5 linked regions of the Danio rerio genome follow. The protein of the gene in region 3 interacts with the protein of the main gene of each other region in a biochemical or structural test. Links are inferred from orthologs where the notes say so. Each region holds a gene or a part of one and is shown on either strand. Other genes may lie near its edges.

What was found.
Region 1: of the proteins of mapk9 (region 3) and maptb, one has a biochemical effect on the other in vitro, tested with the Homo sapiens proteins (2 studies listed by BioGRID). The link is inferred for Danio rerio from reciprocal best matches to the Homo sapiens genes MAPK9 and MAPT.
Region 2: of the proteins of mapk9 (region 3) and elk1, one has a biochemical effect on the other in vitro, tested with the Homo sapiens proteins (2 studies listed by BioGRID). The link is inferred for Danio rerio from reciprocal best matches to the Homo sapiens genes MAPK9 and ELK1.
Region 4: the proteins of mapk9 (region 3) and junba form a complex in vitro, tested with the Homo sapiens proteins (2 studies listed by BioGRID). The link is inferred for Danio rerio from reciprocal best matches to the Homo sapiens genes MAPK9 and JUNB.
Region 5: of the proteins of mapk9 (region 3) and jun, one has a biochemical effect on the other in vitro, tested with the Homo sapiens proteins (17 studies listed by BioGRID and IntAct, with this or other methods). The link is inferred for Danio rerio from reciprocal best matches to the Homo sapiens genes MAPK9 and JUN.

What each region holds. Positions count from the first base shown.
Region 1 is NC_133178.1:20,907,593-20,911,109, reverse strand, and holds part of maptb (uncharacterized protein maptb), read left to right. Parts: intron 1-77; coding exon 78-141; intron 142-1,109; coding exon 1,110-1,160; intron 1,161-2,057; coding exon 2,058-2,290; intron 2,291-3,517. UniProt on the Homo sapiens protein: Promotes microtubule assembly and stability, and might be involved in the establishment and maintenance of neuronal polarity.
Region 2 is NC_133183.1:10,265,955-10,270,135, forward strand, and holds the start of elk1 (ETS domain-containing protein Elk-1), read left to right. Parts: upstream 1-1,367; 5' UTR 1,368-1,975; coding exon 1,976-2,000; intron 2,001-4,181. UniProt on the Homo sapiens protein: Transcription factor that binds to purine-rich DNA sequences. Forms a ternary complex with SRF and the ETS and SRF motifs of the serum response element (SRE) on the promoter region of immediate early genes such as FOS and IER2.
Region 3 is NC_133196.1:35,055,019-35,059,207, reverse strand, and holds the start of mapk9 (mitogen-activated protein kinase 9), read left to right. Parts: upstream 1-1,386; 5' UTR 1,387-1,594; intron 1,595-4,189. UniProt on the Homo sapiens protein: Serine/threonine-protein kinase involved in various processes such as cell proliferation, differentiation, migration, transformation and programmed cell death.
Region 4 is NC_133176.1:55,055,547-55,059,030, reverse strand, and holds junba (junB proto-oncogene, AP-1 transcription factor subunit a), read left to right. Parts: upstream 1-1,428; 5' UTR 1,429-1,532; exon of another isoform or gene 1,533-1,653; coding exon of another isoform or gene 1,654-1,755; coding exon 1,756-2,631; 3' UTR 2,632-2,980; downstream 2,981-3,484. UniProt on the Homo sapiens protein: Transcription factor involved in regulating gene activity following the primary growth factor response. Binds to the DNA sequence 5'-TGA[GC]TCA-3'.
Region 5 is NC_133195.1:16,778,702-16,782,248, reverse strand, and holds jun (transcription factor Jun), read right to left. Parts: upstream 2,375-3,547; 5' UTR 2,106-2,374; coding exon 1,179-2,105; 3' UTR 515-1,178; downstream 1-514. UniProt on the Homo sapiens protein: Transcription factor that recognizes and binds to the AP-1 consensus motif 5'-TGA[GC]TCA-3'.

The sequences.
Region 1 (3,517 bases), on a different chromosome or scaffold from region 3:
CATTTGAACTGTAAAATGATTATAAATAGCATTAGATTTACCGCTAGCTCATTCTTGCTTTAATTGTCCATATTTAGGCTGGAGATGCAAAGACAAAGACAGCGGGTGCTAAACCCCAAGGAGTTGGTGCCAAAATCCCTGGTAAGTGATTTTTTTAAATAAATATTTTCAGGGTTCTACATGAATCTTTATTTAGTTCCATTAATAGGAAGTATTTTTGGTGACTCAACATCCGACAGGTTGAAAAGGAACTTGAATGTTATTATGTAAACACTTTTTGCAATTTAGTACTGATTTCCTCTATTTTAAAGCATTCAGTATTGCTGTGTACAATCAAAAAATTCACTCAGTAATTATAACATAATACCTGGATGTATTTCAGTGCATTCACTCACAGTTGAAATCAGAATTATTAGCCCCCTTTTGATTTTTTTTTTCTTTTTTAAATATTTCCCAAATGATGTTTGACAGAGCAAGGACATTTTCACAGTATGTCTGATAATATTTTTTCTTCTGAAGAAAGTCTTATTTGTTTTATTTCGGCTAGAATAAAAGCAGATTTTAATTGTTTTAAAACCATTTTAAGGTTAAAATTATTGGCCCTTTTAAGCTATATTTGTTTTCGATAGTCTACAGAACAAATCATTGTTATACAATAACTTGTCTTATTATCCTAATCTGCCTAGTTAACCTATTTAACCTAGTTAAGCCTATAAATGTCACTTTAAGCTGTATAGAAGCGTCTTGAAAATATCTGATAAAATATTATTTACTGTAATCATGGCAAAGATAAAATAAATCAGTTATTAGAGATGAGTTATTAAAACTATTATGTTTCGAAATGTGTTAAAAAAATCTGCTCTCCGTTAAACAAAAACGGGAAAAAATAAACAGGGGGGCTTTATAATTCAGGAACTTTTAATAATTCTGACTTCAACTGTACATATAATGGCAACATGCAAAAGTATGCACACCTTCCTGCTTTGCTAGTCTTCTGGAAGCACAATTTCTGCCTATTGGAAATGGGTTGTAAAACCCCAAGGGCATAGTTTTCTATTTATAGAGCATTTATGCGACTGATTTGTACCACTTTGATTTGTAAAATACAGCTGCTTCACGGATGGAGCAGCGAAGGACAGGACCAGGGTCCATTGAAAGAGGTAAAAAAAAAAAAAGTCCTGGGCCAGGATCTAATCAAATATTTTATTACACTATGCACTGTTGGCCATGATGAATCTTGTATGGATCAAAAATATACATTTTTAATGCCAAAACTTATAAGAATATTATAGGACAGTTTACCCCAAAATGAAAATACTGTCATATTTTACTTGTTCCAAACCTGTTTGAGTTTCTTTACTCTATTGAACACAAAAGAAGATATTTTGAAGAAAGCTAAAAACCTGTAACCATTGACCATTCGTTTTACCTGTTATATAAATCAATGGTTACAGGTTTTCAGCTATCTTTCAAATATCTTATTTTGAGTTCAACAGAAAAAAGAAACTTATAAAGGTTTGGATCCACTTGAGGAAGAGTAAATAATAAGGAAATTTCCATTTTTGGATGAACTATCCTTTTAAGTAAAGATCATGTTCCATTATCCATGATGTTCCATGCTTCCATGATCATATTTAGTAAATTTAACACAGTAAATATGTGAAACAATTTCTTTATTTGTAATGTGCATTGCTAAGCACTTCATTTGGACACCTTAAAAGGTGATTTTCTCAATATTTAGATTTTTTAGAACCTTGTATCTCAGCCAAATACTGCCCTATCCTAAAAAACTTACATCACTAAAAAGATGGAAAGCTTATTTATTTAGCTTTTATCTGATGTATTAATCTCAATAATCATAAAAAAATAAACATTTATGTACAAACAAGTACATTTATGAATTGTTTTGTGGTTAATAAAATGACACGGAAGCTTGTAAATACTATCATGCCAATGGTAGGCTAGAAGGCCTTTTATAGGACAATAAACTATAGTGTAATAAAAAAAAGCAAAAACAGAAGAAAACATTGTGGTCTTCTGCTGTTTCTCATTGTCAGCCGACTCACCTAAAACCCCAGACCGCAGTGGTTGCAGCAGCCCCGCCAGTCGGTCCTCCACTCCCGGGCAACAGGTGAAGAAGGTAGCGGTTGTACGCACCCCACCCAAATCACCTGGCTCGCTGAGATCCCGCGCTCAGATTGCTCCTGTGGCACCCATGCCTGACTTGAAGAACGTCAAGTCCAAGATCGGCTCCACTGAGAACCTCAAACACCAACCTGGAGGCGGGAAGGTAGTTATGTCATGCATGTCAGAAAATTGGGACACAATTAATCTAAAGCTGCAGTGTTTAGTGCAGTAAACTGTAAGAGTCAGTTTTGACCTCATGCAATGTTCACAGGCCAGTCAATTCATCCTTTTTGAGTGTATATTGGGATTCTGTATGAGACTAGCATCATTTCTAAGAAGCCATTACTCAAGCTCACACAGAAAATATTTGAATACAAAGAAAAAATAATGCTTGCCAAGCTAATCTAATGTCTTTAAGAAGAAAACAAACCCCTTTGCAGAGCCGGGGAGCCGCAGTTCGGCTCAAAGCACCTGGTTAACACTCTTGACTCTCCTTTTCCAGGTGACTATTGTTCATAAGAAGATCGACTTGACTAATGTTAAGTCTAGATGTGGATCCAAAGACAATATGCAGCATGTTCCTGGTGGTGGTAATGTGAGTAACCAGTAGGGTTAGAAATCCTCACTTAAGTGCAGTTAATACTAGACATATATTATAAAAGAAATTCATAAATGAGAAATATAAATGATGAAATGTAAAACTAAAATAAAACTATTGGAAATTAGTGCATTTCCCTCTGGATATTTAAATTTATTTCTATGAGTTGAGATTAAATATAAGGAAAATTAGACATTAGGCATTCAAAATGTTCAATTAATTATTAATTAATTCATATTTCTATTTATCCCATTTTACAATATGACCAAAATAGTTAAAACTGTATATATTAATATTTAACATAGTCAATGAAGAGTTTAGATGCAAAAGCATCTAAGTGCCATCTGAAACGTTCTCTTAAAGCAGACCTGGGCATTTTACGATGGACTTCTTTGGTTGGCCTGTGTAAAGTATTTATTTAATTTAAATTAAACTGCAAACAGAGCCTTGCAATGTGCAGGTCTTATATTGCGAGTCAATAAAAGGTAACTTTCACATAGCGTCTTTTGGACGCTTAGTTTTGTTATTTCAAATAGAGACGTGCTTGTTCAGCGTGCAAATAGGATGGGGATGCACATGAGGTATTTCACGCTCACGTTTTCCAAGTGCCGTAAGTTGAAAAAATCAAAACATTTCAGAGTTCTGTGAGCGGAAAAACGAGTCATGTGACAGGAACCAAATAAGGCAGCTTCACACTTTGTAGGGAATCACACAGTAATAAAGGTAAGCAGGGCCAGCAAGAATATGCAGACATTTTTTGCTATTTCTGCAGAAAAATTTGTAAAAAAAAAA
Region 2 (4,181 bases), on a different chromosome or scaffold from region 3:
GAATAGTATTTAAGGAAAAAAAACCACAAACGCGCTGCTTCCTTTTGTGACAACATGGGAAAATCAACAAGCCAGAATCAACAACAAAGCCAGAGTACAATTTGCTAAATTACACTGGTAAAAAGAATAATATTTGGAGACATGTCTTGTGGTCTGATGGAACTAAGATTGAACTGTTTGGCCATAATGACCAGTGTTACATTTGGAGGACAAAGGGAAAAGCTTACAAGCCTAGGAACACCATCCCAACTGTGAAGTATGGGGGCGTCAGCACCATGTTGTAGGGCTGTTTTGTTGCAGGAGGGACTTGTCCACTTCACTGCATAGATGGCATCATGAAGAGAGAACATTATGCAGAAATACTGAAGCAACATCTCAAGACATCAGCCAGGAAATTAAAACTTAGCCACAAATGGGTCTTTCAAATAGACCTTGACCCTAAGCACACTGCCAAATTAGTTAAAATGTGATTTAAGGACAACAGAGTGAATGTTTTGGAGTGGCCATCACAAAGCCCTGAACTCAATCCAATAGAAAATTTGTGGGCAGAGTTGAAAAAGCTTGTGCGACCAAGACAGCCAACAAATCTAACTCAGTTACACCAATTTTGTCAAGAGGAATGGGTCAAAATTCCTTCAAACTATTGTGAGAAGCTTGTGGAAGGATACCCAAAACATTTGACCAAAAGTTTTACATTTTAAAAGCAAAGCTAAAAAAAAATACCAATAAAATGTATGTAAACTTTTGACTGTCTGGAAATTAATAAAAAAAAATTTCAATAAAAAAATTGTCTCATTATTCTGGCATTTAGCAAATGTAAATCATTTAGGTAATCTTAACGGACCTAAAATAGTAAACGTTAAGTATGATTTACCATCATATATATATATATATATATATATATATATATATATATATATATATATATATATATATATATATATATATATATATATATATATATATATATATTATTTTTTTTTTAATGGTTATGTTCCTTTTTTTAGAGTGTATGTAAACTTCTGATTTCAACTGTATATATATAGTTTTTTTAATTGCAAATATTTTTGTTTTTATGCGCTGCTTGGTTTTTATTAGCAGTTCTTTTTTTTGTTTGCAAATTTTATTTTTATTTCTCAAAACTTGCTTTGCATTTCTTTTATTCTGCAGGTATTTGTGGTCCTAGATTGACTCCATAGTGTGTGAAGATTTTCATTCGACCTTGATGCTAGAAAAAATACTGAAATAGTTTTTCCTTTCATTCATTTCGCTCCACAGCAAGCCCGCGTCATGCCTGTTGCAGTGACGTCACGGCCGCACAAGGGACTCAGAGCAGAGCAAAAAGAGAGAGGTGGAAAAAAAGAAACAAGTGTTCGAGGCGTTCGTGGAAACAGGAAGCAAAGAGGGGGGAAAGCCGAGCCGAGCACAGACTGTTGTTGTTGTTATGAAAAAGAAACTTCGGAAGGGAGCGCTCTGGTTCTCACTAGCCCGTTATTTTGCGCTTTTTAACTGTCGGTGCTGTCGGCTGAAGCGCGAGGACTTTCCGTCCGTTGCTTGGACACCGATGAAGGAGGGAAGCTCGCGGACTAACGGCTACCTGATCAGGGGTCTCGGGTTTATTTGCCCTCCCTGACCGTCCACCACACTGGAACTAACCCCTCATTACTGTTGCCGTATTCCTATAAAGGCAGCGCGTCACACTGCACCTTTTAAGCAAAGCCCTGGTGGATTTTACCAGAGTATTTTTACGTTTGAAGAAGTCTTCAGTCCGTCTGACAGGAACGGTGCACGCGCAGCTAACGCGAGCTAGCGACTTAGCTGCTAATGTCAACTAACATGGAGGGAGAGGTGCATGTGTTACATAACAGCCAAACGCAATTAAATCACCGACTTTTGACACCCAACAAGCACAGCGATGGACGTGAATTAATCTCCAAAGAATAAGACAGGCCATAGACCGATTTATTTGGGAGTGATGGAGTCGAATCCGCTGATCAGCGGTAAGTTTTAATGCACTTCGCAGAGGTTGGGAGATGGTGGAGTGATTACAGTCGAGTTTAATAAAGTGCTTGTTTGTCAAATAAAGCAGAATACATTCAACAATAGCTTCGTTTTGTTTACGATTCGTTTGTACGTGAGCTCTAGGGTGCTTAATCCATAGTGTGTTGCAGAACGTTTTGTTCAGTGTGCCTGTTCACAACACAGTGAATGATTTTAACGTTATATACATTTGATTTTGGCCAGGGTGAGTTAACAAAACATGTTGGAAGGCTAATGCACAGATACTGTGTTGGAGCACATGTTTTGCAAAACAAATTTCTATCATTAACCGACTCCACACACTGCTGTTTTTGCGTCAAACACAGCATACCAGTGCTTGGTAGACGTTTTTACCTCCTGGATGTTTCAGTGATGTTCATTCAGCAAAAAGAGCTTGAATGTCATTTTAACACAGCTTTCTATATTTCACTGTTAATTAATATATATATATATATATATATATATATATATATATATATATATATATATATATATATATATATATATATATATAGTACAGTATTTCAAATCTCAGCACTCCCAAACAAGCTAGTTCACAGCGTGAATGGTTTGTTTTTATGTTTGAGAGGTGGATTTTATAAATTAAAAGCTGTTATTATATCGCTGTTTATTTCATATTGTACTATAATTGAGCAACATGTCCTTAATTTCCTCTGTTTACATTAATACAAAACACTCCAGGCTAGGGCTGCACAATATATTGTTTCAGCATTGTTATCACAATGTGATCATTGTGCAATGTTGAGTTTGTATTATAACTTATTATTTGCATGTGTTTTTGAAGCCTGTGATTGTATAAAGATTTTAAAAACATTCAGGCATAAGAAATCGTTCTATTTGTGGCATTAACTATGAATAACTTTATTGAATTATTTTAATTATTCAGTTACTGTACTTGAATACTATTAGACTCCATACACACAGAGTTGAAGTCAGAATCATTAGCCCCCCCTGTTTATTTTTTCCCCCGTTTTCTGTTTAGCAGAGATATTTTTTTAAACACATTTCTAAGCATAATAGTTTTAATAACTCATTTCTAATAATAACTGATTTATTTTATCTTTGCCTTGATGGCAGTAAATAATATTTTACTAGATTTTTTTCAAGACACTTGCTAATATACAGCTTAAAGTAACGTTTAAAAGCTTAACTAGGTTAATTAGGTCTACTAGTCAGGTTAGGGTAATTAGAAATGTCATTGTATAACAATGGATTGTACTGTAGTATATCAGAAAACAAAATATGTTTTTCAGGGAACCAAAAAATGGACTAATAATTTTTTTCTTAAAATGGTATTTAAAAAATTACAAAATGCTTTTATTCTTGCCGAAATAAAAAAACTTAGACTTTTTCTAGAAGAAAAAAATATTATCAGACATTTCCTTGCTCTGTTAAACATCATTTGGGAAATAATGACCGTTTTATTTTACATTTGATTGTTCTATTTCTGTGCTTGAATACTGTTTGACTCCTCAGAAAACGGTTATTTAACTTTTATTTTTGCTGTCATGTTTATATGCTTCTAAATGTATTATATTCATGCAGATGTACTACACAGAACACCTCATCATCCCAGTCAATCTAAATGAATGAAATCTTTCCAAATAGAGCTATTCAAATTATACGCTGAAATTTAATCCGTCACAATATATGTGTATAAATGATCTCAAAATCCACTTTGTGTACATATTTCATTATTATGTGAAAAACAAAACACAAATGTAAATTCAATCATCAGTCAATGTTCAGATTTGTGCAAAATATAAAACAAATAGATTTCCCAATCAACTTGAGAGTTAATATTTTTATGCTATTCACCTTGACTTACAAAAGTGCATTGAACATGATTGTGCAATGCATGTTAACCGCAGTGCTTGCGTAAACAAATCCAGTGTCATCTTGTATTACCAGCAGGCAGCACGTAAACCCAAGGAGACGGGATGGGCACATTGATGAACCTCAAGGAACTGTTGAGAGCCCCATTTAATTCACGAGTAGATCTGTTTATTAGGGATCTGCTTGGCGTTTTAGCACTGGATTAATTCTGCTCACATCACAGTCCTGTCTGGCTCTCCTCCTTTGGGATGGCCATTCATTCATTGACTATAAGTCATCAGGCA
Region 3 (4,189 bases):
AGTGCTGTCGCCTCACAGCAAGAAGGTCGCTGGTTTGAACCTCGGCTCAGTTGGAGTTTCTGTGTGGAGTTTGCATGTTCTCCCTGCCTTCGCGTGGGTTTGCTCCGGTTTCCCCCAACAGTCCAAAGACATGTGGTACAGGTGAATTGGGTAGGCTAAATTGTCTGTAGTGTATGAGTGTGTGTGAGGATGTTTCCCAGAGATGGGTTGTGGCTGGAAGGGCATCCGCTGCGTAAAAACCTTCTGGATAAGTTAGTGGTTCATTCCCTGGATTAATAAAGGGACTAAGCCAACAAGAAAACGAATGAATGAATGAATGAATCCCATGACATCTTTGATGCAAATTGCACTGTGGTGCATGAAAGAAAGGCTGATTTACCATCTGATATTTGTGTGTGTGTGTGTGTGTGTATGTGTTTGTGTGTATATATATATATATGGTGCATGTTTTTCTTTTGAAATATTTCCCAAGAGATGCTTGACAGAGGAAGGTAGGCTAAATCCGTAGTGTATAAGTGTAAGAGGGTGACAAAAAAAGTCGTTATCATATGGACAAGTTTAAATGGAGGACTTGTTCTAAAGGGCCGACCGAATAATAAAACGAAATAAAACTTAGTAAGAAGACAATAATTTGTTTTGAGACATCAGATAGAATCTAATTTCCTTATTTTTATATCAAAATAATAATAATAAAAAAAAAGGTTTTGTGTTTTTGAGGCAGGTTGGTTTGATATCTTAAGATTAGTTTGCTGACATGATTTTAGTTGCATTGTGCTAATTGGTATTCATGGAGTGCACCAGGCAAGGTACAACAAAATGAACAACAGAAAGTATCCCCACACACTCACCCTATTAAGCTATCCTTCCTCTTTTACCAATGAACAGACCCCTAAGCTTGAATTATTTTTGTTATACAAAAAAAAAAAAAAAAAAAAAAAAAATATATATATATATATATATATATATATATATATATATATATATATATATATATATATATTTATATATATATATATATTTATATATATTGGGTAGGGCGTGTTTTCAGTGTCAAACAATTATTAGCGAATATGATGAAGAAATTTGTTTGGATTTACCGTCTATGGGATTTACATTTTAACAAACTATTTTGTTTAACAGAAAAACTATGACAGCGCGGAGGCCTTATATTTGTGAAGCCTGGCCTAGTTAAAAACGATGTTTATAGACAACAAGTCTCTCGTCTATTAGCCACAACCTCAATTTGACAGTGAGCTTCAATCCTTCCTGCAACTTTTCAATCTGCATCAAAAGTTACAACTCGACCTGACGAGTGCGCCATTACGTCATCCTACCCAGTGCGCGAGAGCGAGCGAGAGAAAGAGAGAGAGACGTCGAAAAAATACTGTCCCACCAACCTCCGCCCAACGGTCAGTCATGCCACACTCTGGATTTTACTGTCAAGCCTCCTAAAAGAGAGCTGAACTTGACCTGTCCGTCGTGTTGAACGTGGAAGCGATAAACGCCGACACTTCCGCGGTTCAGAGGCTCTGTTTGCTGGCGAGTGTGTGTATGTATGGGAGTGAACTGGAGAACGCGAGGAGAAGAAGAGAAGGTAAGCACGCAGCGAGCTAGCGAAAATGTATACACCTCAAACAGTCGTGTGTTTCTTTTAGCCACTACAAAGACATGCTGTCGTGTTTTTACGGAGGAGCGAGCAGAGAGCGCGTGTTTGTGTGCTCGTGTTGTCGTGGAGTGCCAGTTTGCCGGGAGTTTGACACACATACACACACACACATACACATCTGCAGCAGTTCTGGCCTCAAGATGGATCAGGCCGACACAAGAGTCACTCACAGCCACGCAGAAGAGCTTACCATGAGTGTTTGGGATGTAAAGTCTATTAGTTTAATGCGATTTATTGTTTAACTGGTGTATGTTATGCAGGGACGTAGCTAGCTGCGACTTAGCTTTGCTGTGATGGAGCGACTGCAGCCTGGCAGCAGAATGACATGACTTAAAAACGTGGTAAATCTACTCTTGACATGCTGTGGATTTATATTTAGTGTTCGTGGATTGGCTTAATATATCAGTGTATATTCTGTAAGGGGGCAACTTGTATCTGAATGAGGTCAATGACACTGCTGTGATGCATGAACTGAAGGATGTGTTGACATTCTGCAGGTCAAGAGATGCACTGTAATTCAACTACGATTCATATCTTTAGGCCATTTAGTTGCTTATTCACCTAACATTGAAAGTTGAAGTACATCTAAAACAATCACCTGTAATAAGTTAGCTTTTCATTAAGAAAGATTTGTATGATTTCCTGTTATTTACATTTTCAGTCCAATATTACATTATTGGTTCATCATTGGATAAATTATTTGCCCTCCTGTTTATTTTTTCCGCATTTTTTGTTTAGCGGAGAATATTTTTTCAACACAATTCTAAACATAATAGTTTTAATTACTCATTTCTAATGACTGGTTTATTTTATCTTTGCCATGATGACAGTAAATAATATTTGACTAGATTTTTTTTCAAGTCACTTCTATACAGCTTAAAGTAAAACAAATAAGACTTTTTCCAGAAGAAAAAAAAAATCAGACATACTGTGATCATTTCCTTGCTCTGTTAAACATCATTTGGGAAATATTTACCAAAGAAAAAAAAATTAAAGTGGGCTAATAATACTGACTTGAACTGTATGTGTGTCAGCAGCACTCAGCAGGTATTTTTGTATGTGTTTGTTTTGTGAGAAAGTTAATAGCAGGATGCCCTTAAGCAGCTATTTCTTGTACATTTATATTCATTTTTCAGGATGATACTAGAAAGTTCTGAGGAAATCGCATTGCACTTTGGGCACTCAAAGTTTCATTGGATTCTGCAGCGATTATCATATGACATTATGCTCTACTTCATCTTTAAACAAAAAAAAAAATAAAAGTCATAAAAAAATAGCTCAGGGAAAAATAATTAATCTAATTAAAAATTAGTTTTGCCACCATTTAAAGGGCACCTATGATGAAAATCAGCTTCTGTAAGCTGTTTGGACAGAACTATCTGTTTGTGTGTCCACTGTCATGTTGGAGTAATAGAAACCCAACAAGTCTCATTTTTAAAATTTCCTGATGTTAAAATAGGACCCAGATCCCAGTGATTTTGAGGCTCAACGTGACATAGGAGTGCGGTTTCCATGTGCACCGAATTAATTGACAGCATACGTTTCTATAATACATGTATAGACATGTCCACAGAACATTTGTTTGCAAATAAACTGGGATAAAATATTTGTTCCAACTCTTTAATTTTTGTATTAAGTTTAAAAGTTTTTAATACAGAGCATGTTTGTAATAAAGACAGTAAAATTGATATGTAGTTCTTAACCGCTATAATCACTGCGGCCACGTGGTGTTAGTAAACACACACATATATATGTATGTGTGTGTACTGCTTCTATGAGTGACTTGCAGCGACAAGTGACAACAGACATCCTAAGTTTCCAGGAAATTTCGGGAGTCACCCCCAAATGCATAAAGACTCCTGGATGCCTGCAAACGAATGATAATCTCCCGGAAATCGTTTTTCTTTTGCCCGGTCCTCAAGTTCTTTGCACAGTTCAGATTTGCACAGTTGCACAGTTCACACTCTTCAGATACGTTGCGCACCCCTGCCCCGCTCTTCAGATATGTCGCCCTCCACCCCTCAATCTCCCTTAAATCATCCCTGTCTTCACTGGAAATCACTTTTCCTTACTTGGGATGTCTGCGACAAGCGACCATTCATTTCAATAAAGAGCAAGCGACCTCCATCTACATGAGCAACAGCGACCGTTGGTGACAAAGTGGGTGTGTCAAGCTCAACTTTATGCAAATGAAGAGTGACTTGCTTGAGTGACAGCCAATAGGAGCACCAGAGAAGCTCACGTGATCCTCTCTCAGCTTCGGCAGAAGCATGTTGTATTCTCCATGCTGTAGACCTACACAGACCTGCGTTTGCCTGAAGATAAATAGCCGCAATGACAGAGAACACATTTTTTCTTGATCATCTTTGTAGTTAAGCGTTTTATGTACTGATTCCGTTTATATTTTGTGTATTTTCTGAACAACGTTTACTTTCAGTGGCACGCAAACTCATTTGCTCTCTGTGAATATTACCACAAACGTTATAAGCAATCTCAAGGTGGGAACACCCACAATTGTTTTAA
Region 4 (3,484 bases), on a different chromosome or scaffold from region 3:
ACTGGTTGAGTTATTATTAAATAACCAAATAAAGGGTAAAAATAACCCAACAAAGCACCAAATATGTTTAACTCAACCATTGGGTTTAAGAAATAACTAAACGTTAAGAACGTGTAGAGTTAACTTTCAGTGAATTTTGAGTTAACTCCACTCATTTCATTTGATAAAGTTGACAAAAATGTCAATAAAAGTCACTTTGTTCAACTGCAGAGTTTAATTTTCAACATTAAAAGTCGACAGAGCAGATATCAACATCCCATAATGCAATTCACACCTATAAATAAACAGAAAACACACATGTGAATCACTAAATACAGTAACTGTTCATTAACACATTTTTATTTACAGTGAATTCTATGAGAAGGATCTATTATTATTACTAGTCATGTTTTATGTGTTATATGACTCAGTACTTAAAAAGCAGTCCAATTCAAATAGCTGATAAGCCCTTGTATGAATCTGTATTAGATATTCTCTTAATTACTTTTATTTTTATATTACTCACTATAGCCTTTCCTAGCATGTTTAACAATAAAGCACATTAACGGGATAGTTCACCCACAAATTATATGTCTGTCATCATTTACTCACCTTTTACTTGCTTCAAAACTTTTATGTTGAACAATGAAGAAGATATTTTGAAGAAAGCTGAAAAAATCTAACGGTTAAGAAAAACAAACACAATGGAAGTCAATGGGTTTCCAGCATTCCTCAAAATATCTTCTTCAGTGTTCAACATATAAAGAAAGGTTTGAATCCAGTCAGTAAATGATGACAGAATTGTAACTCTTGGGTGAACTAACCCTTTAATAGAGCTTCTCTTGATCATTGACGAGATGATGTGGTAGCTCAGACACATTTAACTTGGGCTGAAATCCCCCAATCTCAATCCTGCAATCCTGTATTTACTTAAATGGCCAGTTTAGATGCTCCACCTAAATTAAAGGAATATATTTAGAGCTTGACATTTAAAATAAATTCCAATTTCGTTTATATTAAAGAGCTCCTCGTATATTCTGCTTCAGATCTACGGAGATCACAGTATTGTGTTGGAACCTTTTGTTTCCATTTCGACAAGAATGTTTATTATTATTATTCACACGACATCCTCTAACGTAGTGTTTTTCTCAAGAGACCACAGTAGTGTTTCTGTTTTCATGGCCATGGGAAACTTTTCTTAAAAGTGCCGAGCTATTGCGGCCAGTTTTTGCTTCTTGTCTGTGGAAACAAAAATAGGAGCGCAGCGCTCGGTCTCCCTTTGCTCTCTCGCCTCCAGCGTTGTTTTCAATCTCAGCGCTTACTGGCAACAACGTCATCAACCCATCTGACAGCTCGAGGAGCGGAACGAACTCTCGTCCAATCAGCGGCCGCGATTATCTCAGCCACGCCCTCAGCATTTGGAGTATATAAGAATGAAGGCGCACTTATCATGATACTGAATGCGCGACGGGCCAGAAGAGCTGTTTGTAAATAACCGTCTGGGAAGACACTTTTTGGACGTCAGCTGTCGAGAGAAAACACCTGTCGAATTGGTACAGTAAACTATTTTGGAAGTTTCTTCTTTTTTTGCTCTCTTTTGCCTGATGTAATATAACGGAGAGAACTTGCGGACTTTAGTCAGCTTCAGTACGTCCCAACGTAATCTCTGTTCACATGTCAACAAAAATGGAGCAACCGTTTTATGACGACTCGTTTCTTTCTGCTTATGGTCATCCAGACGCTGCCCTGCACGACTACAAGCTCCTAAAGCAGAACATGAGCGTGAGCTTCGCCGAACCCTACCGGAACCTCAAGACCCTCCGCTCCGAAAGCGACTTCTACACGGCGGCGACCGGAGACGTGGGCTCGCTGAAACTCGCCTCTCCGGAGCTAGAGAGACTCATCATCCAGAACGGTAACGGCGTCATCACATCACCCACGCCGGGGCAGTATTTGTACGGTCGGAGCATCACAGAGGAGCAAGAGGGCTTCGCGGACGGATTCGTCAAAGCGCTGGACGAGCTCCACAAAATGAACCAAATGCCCCCGCCGAACGTGTCCATCGGAGCCCCCGGGGTGTCGAGTTGTTCGGTGGCGTCGTCAGTCTTCGGCGCCTCCTTACCGCCCGAGACTCCGGTGTACACCACCCTGAACAGCTGCAATCCTAACACTAACCTCACACCTGCAGCCAACTACCCGACAGCCACCATCAGCTACCTGCCTCACCATCACCACCACCAGCAGTACCACCACCATCACCACCAGCCCACGCCGCATCCTCATCACTTCCAGCACTCGCTCCATCCGCAGCGGCTCGTTACTCTGAAAGAGGAGCCACAGACCGTCCCCGACCTGCAGAGCAGCGATGGTTCTCCTCCCATGTCGCCCATCGACATGGAGGACCAGGAGCGCATCAAAGCGGAGCGCAAGAGGCTCCGGAACCGACTGGCGGCCACCAAGTGCCGGCGACGGAAGCTGGAGCGCATCTCCCGGCTGGAGGACAAAGTGAAAGTGCTCAAGTCGGATAACGCCGGACTGTCCAGCACTGCGTCCCTGCTGAGGGAGCAGGTAGCTCAGCTTAAGCAGAAGGTCATGACCCATGTGAGCAGCGGGTGCCAGCTGATGCTGACGCCGAAGATCAAGTCGTTTTAGGGGGGAGAGGGATGCTACGGACTCTGGGAAACACTGGAAGAGCAGATCCTGTTTGTGATGATGTTATTGTCGCAGCACTGAGTACGAGCGTTGTATATTTCTTAAGTGTTTTCTTGTAGAAAACTTTAATGTTATTGTTGTTTTCCAAAGATAAGGTACTTTCAGCCGAACGGACAATGGACTAAACTTTTGAAGTGAACAGTTTTGGTTTTGTTGTTAAGTGCTGCCCTTTGAAAACATTCCAGTAAGTTATTGATATTGTGAGTCAGGTTGAGCCAGACCTTTAACTGTTTTTCTGTTTGTTTGTTTTTGTTTATTTTTTATATTTAAGTAAAAATGTTGAAAATGATTCTACTGTTTGGGTTGTTTATTTCAAGCGTAGAGCAGAAACAAAGTTTATTCTGTAGCCTACGGCTTTAAAGTTACGTCGAAGACGTGCCCACGTTGGCTTTTTTTTTCCTGCTGACGCAAGGCCCATATATGGGCAGTTTTGGTCTATGTACGTCACTAAGGGTAGATTTCGGGAACCCCCGCCCACGCTACCGGTCAGGAAGTCCGCGCGCTTTCAACTCTGACGTTCGATGAATGGAGCGCGTGTGAACGAGAGAAAATTTAGCAACGCGGGATTTTCCCCGCGCGCACAAACCTTCCCAAAACAGTTTCAGCGAAAAGAAAACTAGAGATAAAAATATGAGCACGGGCATTTTCCAGGTACTTTGCAGAAAACGGAGCCGTCGCAAGCACAAAAATAGACAAACAGATCTCAGTAAATATAAGAGCAAGGCTTATAAACGAGAAGTGCCCACAGTGACTCCTTTATCAGCTATTTCCCGAAAACACACAGGCGGTAGAT
Region 5 (3,547 bases), on a different chromosome or scaffold from region 3:
AGTATTTTTAAATTTCAACCATTTATTAATTTAATATTAAGTCATTGTTGCTGGTTAAATTGTTAAAACTTGTATACATCTTCAACTTCTACAATTTTTTTTAACATATTTGCAGGCTAACACTAACCTTAATAAACTTTTGTTTCAGTTGACACAAAAATGAGGCCATGATTAAAGGCATTGGTCTATTTAGTACTTGACTGTGTGATAATTACTTGATAATTTCAGCATTACTGATTTAAAGAGTCAATCAAATTATGTGTCTGCTTTATTTTGATGTAAAAATGTTATATTAAGTTTGCATTTAACCTTTAGCAATTAAGCATGTATTTATAATGTTATTATTTTTAATTACTGTAAGGATGTTTTTTGACACCCTTTTTTCCCAGTCCTGTCTGTGGACTTTACAAAACAGCCAGTCTCTTCCAAAACATGTTATTACATGTTTGTCAATTTGAACACACACACACATACACACACAAGCGTCATTTCCATTAAGACAACAGAGACATTGTTTTTCATTTGACATACTTTATTACAGTTCATAAATATTGATTAGTTTCTGAGGTGCTCAGAAAACAAACATAAAAAATTATTGTACTTTACTTACAAATGGTAAACTTAAGTACTCCTGGTTGATCATATTTACAAATAACAATGAGTGAAACCTCATTAATGAACTTTTTTTTTAGAAAAAGAAACTGCTTAAGTTGGACTAACTCAAAAGGAAAAAAGTCGATTTCCGTTCAATTTAAGAACAACAAAAAAAGTACAATATGTAGCTCAGAAGTCAGGCAGCTTTTTTATCAAAAGTTTAGCAGACACAACGTCCTGCTTGGTGAGCCAGTATCCCTACTGTACGGCAGTCGCGTCTCTGTTTTACTCCTATAATACTGAGTGCTCCTTTGAAGCGTATAGGTCCATGCACAACCTGGTCGATGTGAACAAGGATTTCGTCAGAAAGTAAAACATGTAACAGAGTGAGTCTCATGCGCTCTGCGTCTCTGTCGGACCGAGTGAAGTTTTGCGCTCCTCAAAAGTCCAGTCGGATCATCCTTTAACGGCACGCGGCCGGCCGGACGGTCCCGGTCCCCGCGGGCTCTGTCGCGCCAGATCGCAGACATCAAGCCCCTGAAGTTTGTTTATGTGGCTGAACTCAAAATGTCCTTCGGCTCTCCTCAGAAGGTTTGCAGCTGTTGTGTCAACATGAGCTGGCAGCCGCTGTTGACGTGGTTCATGACTTTCTGCTTGAGCTGTGCCACTTGCTCGCGCAGCATGTTGGCGGTGGACGCGAGCTCCGAGTTTTGCGACTTCAGGGTCTTGACTTTGTCCTCCAGCCGGGAGATCCTCTCCAGTTTCCTCTTCCGGCATTTGGACGCGGCGATTCTGTTTCTCATGCGCTTCCTCTCGGCTTTAATCCGCTCCTGGCTCTCCATGTCGATAGGAGAGAGCGGTGGGGTCTCGCCGGGCATCTCGGGCACCGTTTGGGGCTCCTCTTTCAGGGCCTGGAGGCGCGGGTGCTGGACGGGCAGCTGCGGTGGTGCGCTCGGGAAGCTCATCGCGGCTGGATTGGCCGAGCTGCTGCTGATAGCAGGGTTGAACGTGTTCAGATCCGCGTAAACCGGCGGATCAGCGCGCATGGCTGAGCTGTAGACCGCACCGCCCGCTATGGACGAGACCGGTGCCATGCTGCTGTTGATAGTAGTTTGGGGAGCCGAGGTGACGTTGGGCATGTGCTGGTGGTGCAGCTCAGCCAGTGCCCTCACAAAGCCCTCCGCGAACCCCTCCTGCTCATCCGTCACGTTCTTGGGACACAGAAACTGGGTCGGAGTTGGCGTCGTGGTGATCATGCCGTTGCTAGACTGGATGATGAGCCTCTCCAGCTCCGGTGATGCCAGTTTGAGAAGTCCCACGTCGGGAGAAGTGAGGATATCGCTGGCTTTGGCCCTCAGGTGGGGCTTTAGGTTCCCCGCGGGGTCGGACAGATTGAGCGTCATGTTGTGTTTCAGAGCCTTGTGGTTGTATCCAAAAGTGGCGCTGTCATGCTGAGAGAAAGCGCTGTTTAGAGAGTCATCGTAGAAAGTAGTTTCCATCTTGGTAGACATAGAAGGCAAAGCGAAACTTTTAGTTCAGAAGCAGTCTTTTAGGCGCTGTTAAGCACTGTCCGCGTTCAGTAACGAGCGCTGCGGTGTTTGGAACAAAAGCGAGAGGATTGGAAAAGTTCCTCAACTCCCCGTCCCGCGAGAAACTTACTGCGTAAAGTTATCGCCAGTGTCACGGGCTCGTCTCCTCCTGCCTTCCGCGGATAGAAAGTTCTTCCTCCGCCGCTGTCGCGCTTCTCAGACACCAGCAGATAAACAGTGCTTAGCCGAAGGCTTATTTATGTTGGTTTGAGTGAGGTGTTTCACTGTGGCGAGGTCTGTATACTCTGAGCTTCTCCAGCGTGGAGGCAAACCTTATCTGCTACCGCTGCCCCACTAAAAATAGAAATGATGTAATGCGCGCAGCCTCTCATTGGCTGGAGGCGTTTTACTGGGCGTGTCACAATTTCAGATAAGGCGCGTTGCCTAGACGACCACCCAGAAGATTCTACTCGCGGTGCCTGATGGGATGAGGTAATGCTGTAAAGCAGTGCATTGTGGGATTACGTATTGTTTTTGAATATCTGGTTACCCGCTTAGCTGTTTTAGACCGTGGCGGGATACAAAGAAGCAGAGTAATGTACAACGCGCCACTTTTAGAACTTAAACTTTACTATAAGTTTGAGAAGAAGAGGCAGAATAAATGTGTGCCGCTGTATGTTTGAGAGTTGACCAATTCTTGCGCGAGTTTCGCAAGACGCGGCCATTCTTTAACAACAGCAAGTTCCAAACACTCTCTGGATCCAGTTTAATGTATTGCATATACATCAGTAAGGTAAAAAATATATATTAGAAATACAGTTTGGAGTCAGTGAAACTAATTTCCAACCTTACAATAAAATGTTGAGGGAGATTTAAAACGAAAAAAAAATAGAAGAAATGCCTTCTGAAATAATAAATTAAATAAGCATAACTTGATGTTACTCATTTTGTTTGAATATAATGTTAGATTAGCTGATTAAAAGTATTTTTTTTTAATCAGTCGTTGAAATATATTATGAATTAATTAGTATTTGCTAATTTTACTCTTCTTCACTTCCAGCACTCCCTTGTTGGCCCCCTGGGGGTCCCCGAACCCTAGTTTAAAAACCTCAGTGTTATACAGGCATACATAATTTAATCTGGCACGAAGAAACAGGGCTATAGTCTGCTTTTTTATGCCAAAGTGCATTTGCTCCGTCAGCCAATGGTCTAAAAATGGGGGCGTTTCTTATTGTGGAGTGACAGCGTGCCACAAAGTCCAGCCGCCGTATCCGTGACAGTCCCTAGAGATCCTCTCAAAAGTGCAAACAACCCTGTTAAACGTCACTGCGTCAACCACAACCACAAACTGATCGAATATAGCGTGACAGCTGACAAGTGACGTTTCAGTTTACTTTCTGAGATTTTTACTGACGTTGCTTAAA